Linked DNA regions of Sus scrofa. The protein of the gene in region 2 interacts with the protein of the main gene of each other region in a pairwise test. Links are inferred from orthologs where the notes say so. Each region holds a gene or a part of one and is shown on either strand. Other genes may lie near its edges.

Region 1 (3,745 bases), on a different chromosome or scaffold from region 2:
GCATCGACATTTTGAGCCTTAGCTTGTTCCTCTGGAAAATGGGTATAGTTGTTCCCGTCTCATTTAAATATGCTGTTATAAAGCAATTTTCAAGTTATAGCCTTCACCTTTTAAAAAGAAACAAACTGAGCAAAGGTGTAGAATAAGTTCTCAGTTGTGCTAAAAATGTGCTTAAATAGAGAACATTCTAGAAAAATACCTAAGACAGTGTTAAACTGGACATCACCGGAGAAAAGGTTGGTGGTGGGGATTCTTCTGTATTGTCTGATTGAAAAAAAAAAAACAGCTGCACATATTACATTTTTATGAAAATGTTTTGAATAAGTTTATTCAATTTATTTATTAAAATGATGATAAAAAATCATTTTTTCTAGAGAAAAGCAAAAAAGAAAGAAAAGGAACTTCCCCCTTTCAAAATTGGAAGAGAGAAATGAAATCTCTATGCACCACATACCTGACTTGTGGTTGTCACCTGTTTTCTTTTTTTTTTCAGGGCTGCAGGTGCAGCATATGGACGTTCCCAGGCTAGGGGTCAAGTCGGAGTTGCAGCTGCCGGCCTACACCACAGCCACAGCGACGCCAGATCTGAGCCTTGTCTGTGACCTACCCTGCAGCTCATGGCAAGGCCGGATCCTTAACCTCCTGAGTGGGGCCAAGGATAGAACCTGTATCTTCATGGAGACTAGTTGGGTTTGCCTCTGCTGAGCCACAATGGGAACTCCTGTTACCACTTTTCAAAAATCCGAGGCTGGTCTGGGATTAAGTGGCCCGTGAACCCCCTTCACTGAGCAGGGACTCTCCTGGACGGCTCCCGGGTGGGTTGTTAGGGCTAATGCCCAGGCTGGTTGGCCCTGCCCTCCCGCCCCACGCTGAGCCGTGAGCCTTTCCTTGGGGCCAGGCCAACACCTGGTAGAGAGGTGTTGGCTGGCAACTGGAATCTGCCTTCGCTGCTTCCTTGTTACCAAAGCCTTTGGGATGGACAAGCCTCCAGGGGCTTTGCAATCTGCAGGGAAGAGCAGGTGGGGCCGGAGCAGGAGGGAAGGGCTCCCCAAACAAACAGAATCCGGATGCCTGTGCAAACATGGGGCTATAAAGAAGTCTTTGCCTCGGACGTGGCACATCCGCTGAGCGGTCGGTTCCCCAGAACCTGCCCGTGACCATGGAGGCCAGGATGTTCTGGCTGCTAGTGGTGCTCCTGGCCTTGGCGTCCTCCAGCTCTGCCGGGGAGTATGTGGGCCTGTGTGAGTACCACTCTGTCTCCCCTACTTGGCAGTGGCGGGGAGGGGCCAGGGGCAAGGCGGGGCCCATGGCAGGGGCCGCTGGGCTCCAGGGCTTCCTGTGGGCTTGAGGAGAGGGACCAAGCCCCACGTCCCTTTAACCACTACCATTTACCAGACACCCAGGATTTCTCTCAACAGCCTTGCAAACGGGGTCTTGCTGCTCCCATTTTACAGACAAGGAAACTGAGTCTCTGAAAGTTAGTAACTGGCCCTCCCAGTCAGTGTTGAACTCAGGATTCAAGCCCAGGTCTGCCTTCCTTGCTAGAGATTTCCGAATGACAGTACAGGTCTTTGCATAGTATTCTGGCGGAGTCACAAAACAAAACAGAAAGATCCATGACAATGAGTTCTGGAACATTTTCCATCTGGTCAAACCTTTTTCTTTTAGCCATTGCGACTCGGGGCAAGGGCTGTGGTTGTTCCCGTCCCCTGAGTTAGGGTGTGGCTTTTATCAGGTTACCTGCTGAGCCATCTCAAGCAGTGGCTCCCAAACGGGGCACCTGTCAGCATCACCTGGAAACTTTGCCAACGCTTGAAGCTTGGGATGTGCCAGTCATATCAGAATGTCTCTGGGTGGGATCAGGTTTCCATGGAGTGAAAGACCCCAGGGCCAACAGAGTTTGGGAACCAGTGGAATACGGAATTACAGACTGGCTGCAATAGAAGACGAGCTGAGATTTCGTGTGATTTCTATTTTCCTGAGGAAAAGCACAGACAGGCAATGAGGCCAAGCAGACTTTTGCTGAACTTTAGACAAAGACTTAGATGAATATCAGAGTTCCCTTTGTGGCTCAGTGGTGACAAACCCCTCATAGTATCCATGAGGCTGTGGCTTCGATCCCTGGCCTCGCTCATGGGTCGGGTATCCGGCGTGACCATGAGCTGTGGTGCAAGTTGCAGGTGCGGCTTGGATCTGGTGTGGCTGTGGCTGTGGCTGTGGTCTAGACCGGCAGCTATAGCTCTGATTCAACCCTTAGCCTGGGGACTTCCATATGCCGTGGGTGCGGCCCTAAAAAGACAAAAAAAAAGAAAAGAAAAGAATATTAGAGATCAAAGAAAGTTCAGGGAAGGTGTGACAGGGGAGCAGGGAAGTGCAGAAAATGGCATATCCTGTGATTCTTCTTCTCTCGAATGTCTACCTATTATGCTACTATTTATTTTTGAAAGGGGGAAGTTTTATTGATAGAACAGCAAAGGGGACATTTGTTTCCGGGTTCAGGGGCCCCTGGATTCCCGTGGGTGCCTGCCAGCTGGAGGGAACCCAGGCCTTCTTGCCTTCCTGAAAGGTGCTGAGGGCACCCAAGTGAGAGACCCGGGGCAGCAGGCCAGACTTCCTACAGAACGTCTCTTTAAAATCCGTGTGCTGAGAGAGGGTCCTTGGCCAGCAGGTGTCGGGGTGGGGGATGGGATCACATCATTTGAACTCAGGAGCGGGTGGGGGTGGGGGTGGGAAGAGGGCAGGTTTGCAAAGCGCAGCCTCCAGACCAACCCCCCCCCCCGCCCCCCACCAGCAAGGGCTCTGACTCGGCTTTGTCGCTTTGTTTGGGGCAGCGGCGAACCAGTGTGCCGTCCCTGCCAAGGACAGGGTGGACTGCGGCTACCCCCAGGTCACCCCCGAGCAGTGCAACAACCGGGGCTGCTGCTTCGACTCCAGCATCCCCGGGGTGCCCTGGTGCTTCAAGCCCCTGCAGGAAACAGGTGAGCCGGCCCCCAGGAAGCCGCACACGCCTGGGCCTAGGGCGGTCCATTGGCCCAGGGCCTGGTGCAGACGAGAATCATTTCGGAAAGATGTTCGAAGTCGAGGCGCTATGTAGAGGGACCTGGTTTGAAACTACCCCAGAGAGAAATGGACAATCCGCAGTGTGAGAGCTGGGCTGACATTCAAGGCCATTTTCAGCAAACCACCCCCCAGTGTGTCTGTCACTGTGACACGCCCTCGCTCTGGGTGTGGAACCCGGCGTCACTCCCCGCCCTGCCCCCACCACGAGGGGCACCCCCTCTTTCATGGGTGCAGTGGGGTGCAGGATAGCCCCCTGGGGGACCCCGTGTCGGGGGCAGAGGGCAGTGCACAGCTGATTGGCCATCCTGCCTCCCTCGGGGCCCCCCCAGCTCCCCATATGTTGGGCCTGGAGGTCGCCGTGAGCCACCTGGTAGCCCAGGTGCCAGCTGAGCGCCTAAGACAGTTACTTAAGGCCCTTCCTGGAACCAGCACCTGGGGGCTGCTCCTGCCCTTTGTCCCCAGAGGAACGATGAAGGAGACCGTCTTCCAGCTGGTCCCAGCTCCCTGGTCAATGCTTCCCAGCAAACCCGGGCAGAGGTCCAGACATGGCTCTGGGCCCGCAAGGGAGTCACCTGTTGCCTTTGTGCTGGCCGTCCCCACCCGTCCAGCTCTTCAGTCTGGGACAACCCTTCTTTGGGTCCTGGCAGTGGCCCAGCCCAGGGGCCCAGTGGGGCGTGTGGCTTTT
Region 2 (3,745 bases):
AGGCCTCGTTCTCAAGGCGGGTCTCTCCGTCTGCATGCCTGGGGCCAGGCAAAGGGACCCAGGCTTAAGACATGTTCCAGGCAATTCTTAGTCACACCAGAGTCCACGACCCCCGGCAGCACCTCCCAGTGCGTACTGCACCGTGCTCCCACGCAGCCTCTGGTTCCCAGCTTCTGGGCCTACGTTTCTCAGATTCTCACCTTCTTTTCTATTGTGTCACCTCAGGAAGCCAGAGCCACAGAGCTCAGCCCCCAAAGCAGATGTAACTTGGCCAAGGGCAAAGGGCAAGGCCAGTGCCCCAGCCTATCACCCGCTGTGCACGCTGCCCAAACTGGCGCAGTTCAGGCCGTGAGTGGAACCCTCAGAGAACAGAAGCAAGCAAAGGTCAGTTTCCACCTCTAAGAAGATCCAGGTGGAGGCGCTTAAGGGATCCCAGTATTGAGGCCCCTAAAGTAGAACTACCTGAGGGTGGAAAGTGTAAGTGCTAAATGAGAAGTGAGTCAGTAAGGCCTGGGGAGAGCACTTGAGGAAGGTTAATCTGGCTTTTATGAGGCGGTCCTGGAAGACTGGAAGCCAGGTGGGCTTGAGGCGGTCATCTCCCCTGGCTCAACAGCTGAAAAAGGGCACAAGAACTGCCACTTCAGTGATCAGCAAGAGAAGCCAAGGGGCACTTTAGGACACTCCACTGTTACTAAAGGAATGACATCTCCCTTTTGTTTTTGTCTTTTTAGGGCCGCACCCACGGCATATGGAGGTTCCCAGGCTAGGGGTCTAATCAGAGCTGTAGCTGCTGGCCTACACCACAGCCACACAACACAGGATCGGAGCCGTGTCTGTGACCTACACTACAGCTCTTGGCAATGCCCGATCTTAACCCACTGAGCAAGGCCAGGGATCAAACCTGAGTCCTCATGGTTGCTAGTTAGATTTGTTTCTGCTGTGCCATGACAGGAACTCCCGATGTCATCTGCCTTTTTAAAAGGAGACTTCCTGGGGGCAAGTAGGCTTGTGACAGGCCTTTAGGTTTGGGGTAGAACTGGGCTCTTATAACTCAACCTGTTCTCCCTCCTGAAAGCGCACATTCCCTCTGGACAACCCCGGCTTGGTCTGTCTCCTCTCCTGGGCTCCAGAAGGCCAGCGAGGGCAGTGGAGTCCTGCATCACCGCCCAAACCCGTCTCTGTTCCAGAGCCGGCCCTGTCTCAGTGGCTGATAAACCTGGTCCGTGTTTCCAGCCTCTAGTTCTCTGGCTCTGAAAGGAGGACATGTGCACTAGAGGAGCTCCTAGGAGGCTCCCCTTCCTCTTTAGAATCTTCGGGAACCCCCCCCCCACATTTCACAGCCTGGGGCTGAACTGAGGAGCCCCTCTGAGATCTGGGATCAGAGAGGGGGCAGGGGTGTGTTTGCTTAGTAAGTCACAGGTCAGCCCTGGCCTCAGCCTGGGCCCAGGGAGGCTGTGGGTGTTACTGATTACCTGCAGCCTACAGTTTTGGGGCCTCAGTGCACCTCACAATGGGCTCACTCACCACCTCCCCTCCACCCAAGTCATAGCCTTCAAAATGCCCTCCCAGGCCTCATCACAGCCCTAGTCGCTCCTAAGGCTTTGGGGCCTAATGCTTTGACTGCTTAGTAAAGCTTCCTGCTGTGCAGGCTGGCCTATCCTCCCAGGCCACATCTGAGCACAGGGCCTAAGGCTCCCCTCAGGGAAAGCTCAGGGCAGACGGTGGATGACTCTGAGCAATCATGTCACCCGTGGCTGGGCACAGGCCTCAAACTAGGTGCCCCCCCGGGGGGGCTGGCTCTCAGGTTGGGGGCAGCACACAGGGCTGAGCAGAAGTGCAAGAGAGAAGGGCAGTAAACAGGCAGGCAGAGGCACATGCAAATTCAGTCGCCCCGCCCCCTTTGCACACTCACAAGGCTTCCCCCCACCCCCGACCACCCGGTCCCTACCCTAGCCCCCAGTGTAGAACAGAATCATGCCACCAAGGAGGGCTACGTCTGCAGGCTCACTACGTCCCCTCCCCGCTGCCCGTCTCACTGCCCCACCCCCACCGGGAGAGCTCTCTAAGCAGGGCCTGCGCGGCCTTGAGGCCTCAGGCACAGATGGCCAGGGAGCCGGGGAAAGCCTGGGCTCCCGCCTCGCCGTCACCCAGACCTGCCACCGCCCCGCTTCCGACCTCAGCTTTCCCCCAGGGGACCACTGGCGGGGTGGGGTACCGGCGGGACAGAGACCCCGATTCCCCCAGGCCGGCGCGGCTGCTGTGCAAGGAGCTGGGAGGGACCGCCCCCCCGCTCCTGGCCGGGTCCCCTGGGCCGGCCTCGGCGGGCCCCTTCCTCTCCGCCGCACCCCCCTCCTAACCCGGCCGCCCCTCACCATGCCGGGCGGCGCAGACGCGGGCGATCAGCAGGTGGTAGCGGAGCGGAAGAGCGCGAAGCCCGGCGCACCGGGAAGCCGTCGGGCGGGGCAGCGCTCGGGCCGCCCGGGGCGGGAGCGAGGCCGGGCAGGGGCCGCCCACCCGTAATCATTAACTCCAGCTGCGGCTCCCTTCCAGGACTTTCCTCATTGCCAAGCTTGCAGCGAGGTCAGAGGTTAAGGACGCGTGGGCTCCTAACGCAGACTTGGGTTTATGCATCGCGCACTGCCCCTTACCAGCTGTGTGACCCTCGACGCCAGATTGCTTTTTCTTTTTTAGAAAAACGTCTTACTGAGGAATAAACCCACACAATACACTGCCCGTATTTAAAGTGTACAATGTGATGCCTTTTGGCATATGTATGCATCCTTGCAACCATCACCACGATGACGAGGACATGACCACAAGCCCTAAATTGCCTCCTCCCTCCTCAGAGATCTATTGACCTGCTGCCTTTACTATAGATTAGATTGCGTTTTCTGGAAGGCTATGTAAATGGAAATCATATGGGTTACCCTCTTTTTAGATCTGCCTCCTTTCACTCAGCGTAATTACTTTGAGGTTTACCCATGTCGATGCATATATCAATAGTTTTCCCTTTGATAACTAAGTAGAAATTATTTTACAGTATTATATTGTAATGGATATACTACAATTTGTTGGACTTTGGGTTGTTTCCAGTTTTTGATTAGTACAAATAAAGCTGCTAGGAAAGTTTGCCTGCAAGTCTTTGGATATATGCTTTAATTTTTCTTGGGGAAATACCTGGGAATGGAATGGCTAGGTCATAGAACAGGTATATGCTTATAAGTTGTTAGGAAACTGCCAAACTGCTTCTCAAAGTAGCAGGACTATTTTCCACTGCCACCAGTGGCATATGACAGTGCAGCTTCACCTTCACCTAGAGGGAATACTCCTAAGCCAATCTTTTTATTATTTAGCCATTCTAATTGGTGCACAGTAGTATCTCACTGGTGGTTTTCAGTTGCCTTAATGACTAATGATATTAAATATCTTTTCATGTGCTTATTTGCCAATGGTCAGTCATTGGTGAATTGCCTGTTCAAATTTCCTGCCCATTAAAAGTAATAGTTTGTTTTCTTATTGCATTTTGAGAGTTCTTCATTCTGAATACAAGCACTTTATCAGATATGTGATTTGGCATATTTCGTTTGCATTTCCACAATGTCTCTCAAAAGGCGAATGTTCTTGATTTTGATGACACCCAATTTATCAACTCTTTCTTTTATGGATTGGTATTTTGGTGTTGTAACTAGGAATCGTTGCCTAATCCTAGGTCACAAAGATTCTTCTCCTGTGTTTTCTTCTATAT

What was found.
Region 1: the proteins of PCBD1 (region 2) and TFF3 interact in binary tests that used the Homo sapiens proteins (3 or more experiments, as listed by UniProt). The two-hybrid records come from large-scale screens. The link is inferred for Sus scrofa from reciprocal best matches to the Homo sapiens genes PCBD1 and TFF3.

What each region holds. Positions count from the first base shown.
Region 1 is NC_010455.5:205,641,707-205,645,451, reverse strand, and holds the start of TFF3 (trefoil factor 3 precursor), read left to right. Parts: upstream 1-1,118; 5' UTR 1,119-1,159; coding exon 1,160-1,241; intron 1,242-2,831; coding exon 2,832-2,978; intron 2,979-3,745. UniProt on the Homo sapiens protein: Involved in the maintenance and repair of the intestinal mucosa. Promotes the mobility of epithelial cells in healing processes (motogen).
Region 2 is NC_010456.5:73,804,788-73,808,532, forward strand, and holds the start of PCBD1 (pterin-4-alpha-carbinolamine dehydratase), read right to left. Parts: upstream 2,461-3,745; 5' UTR 2,376-2,460; coding exon 2,373-2,375; intron 1-2,372. UniProt on the Homo sapiens protein: Involved in tetrahydrobiopterin biosynthesis. Seems to both prevent the formation of 7-pterins and accelerate the formation of quinonoid-BH2. Coactivator for HNF1A-dependent transcription.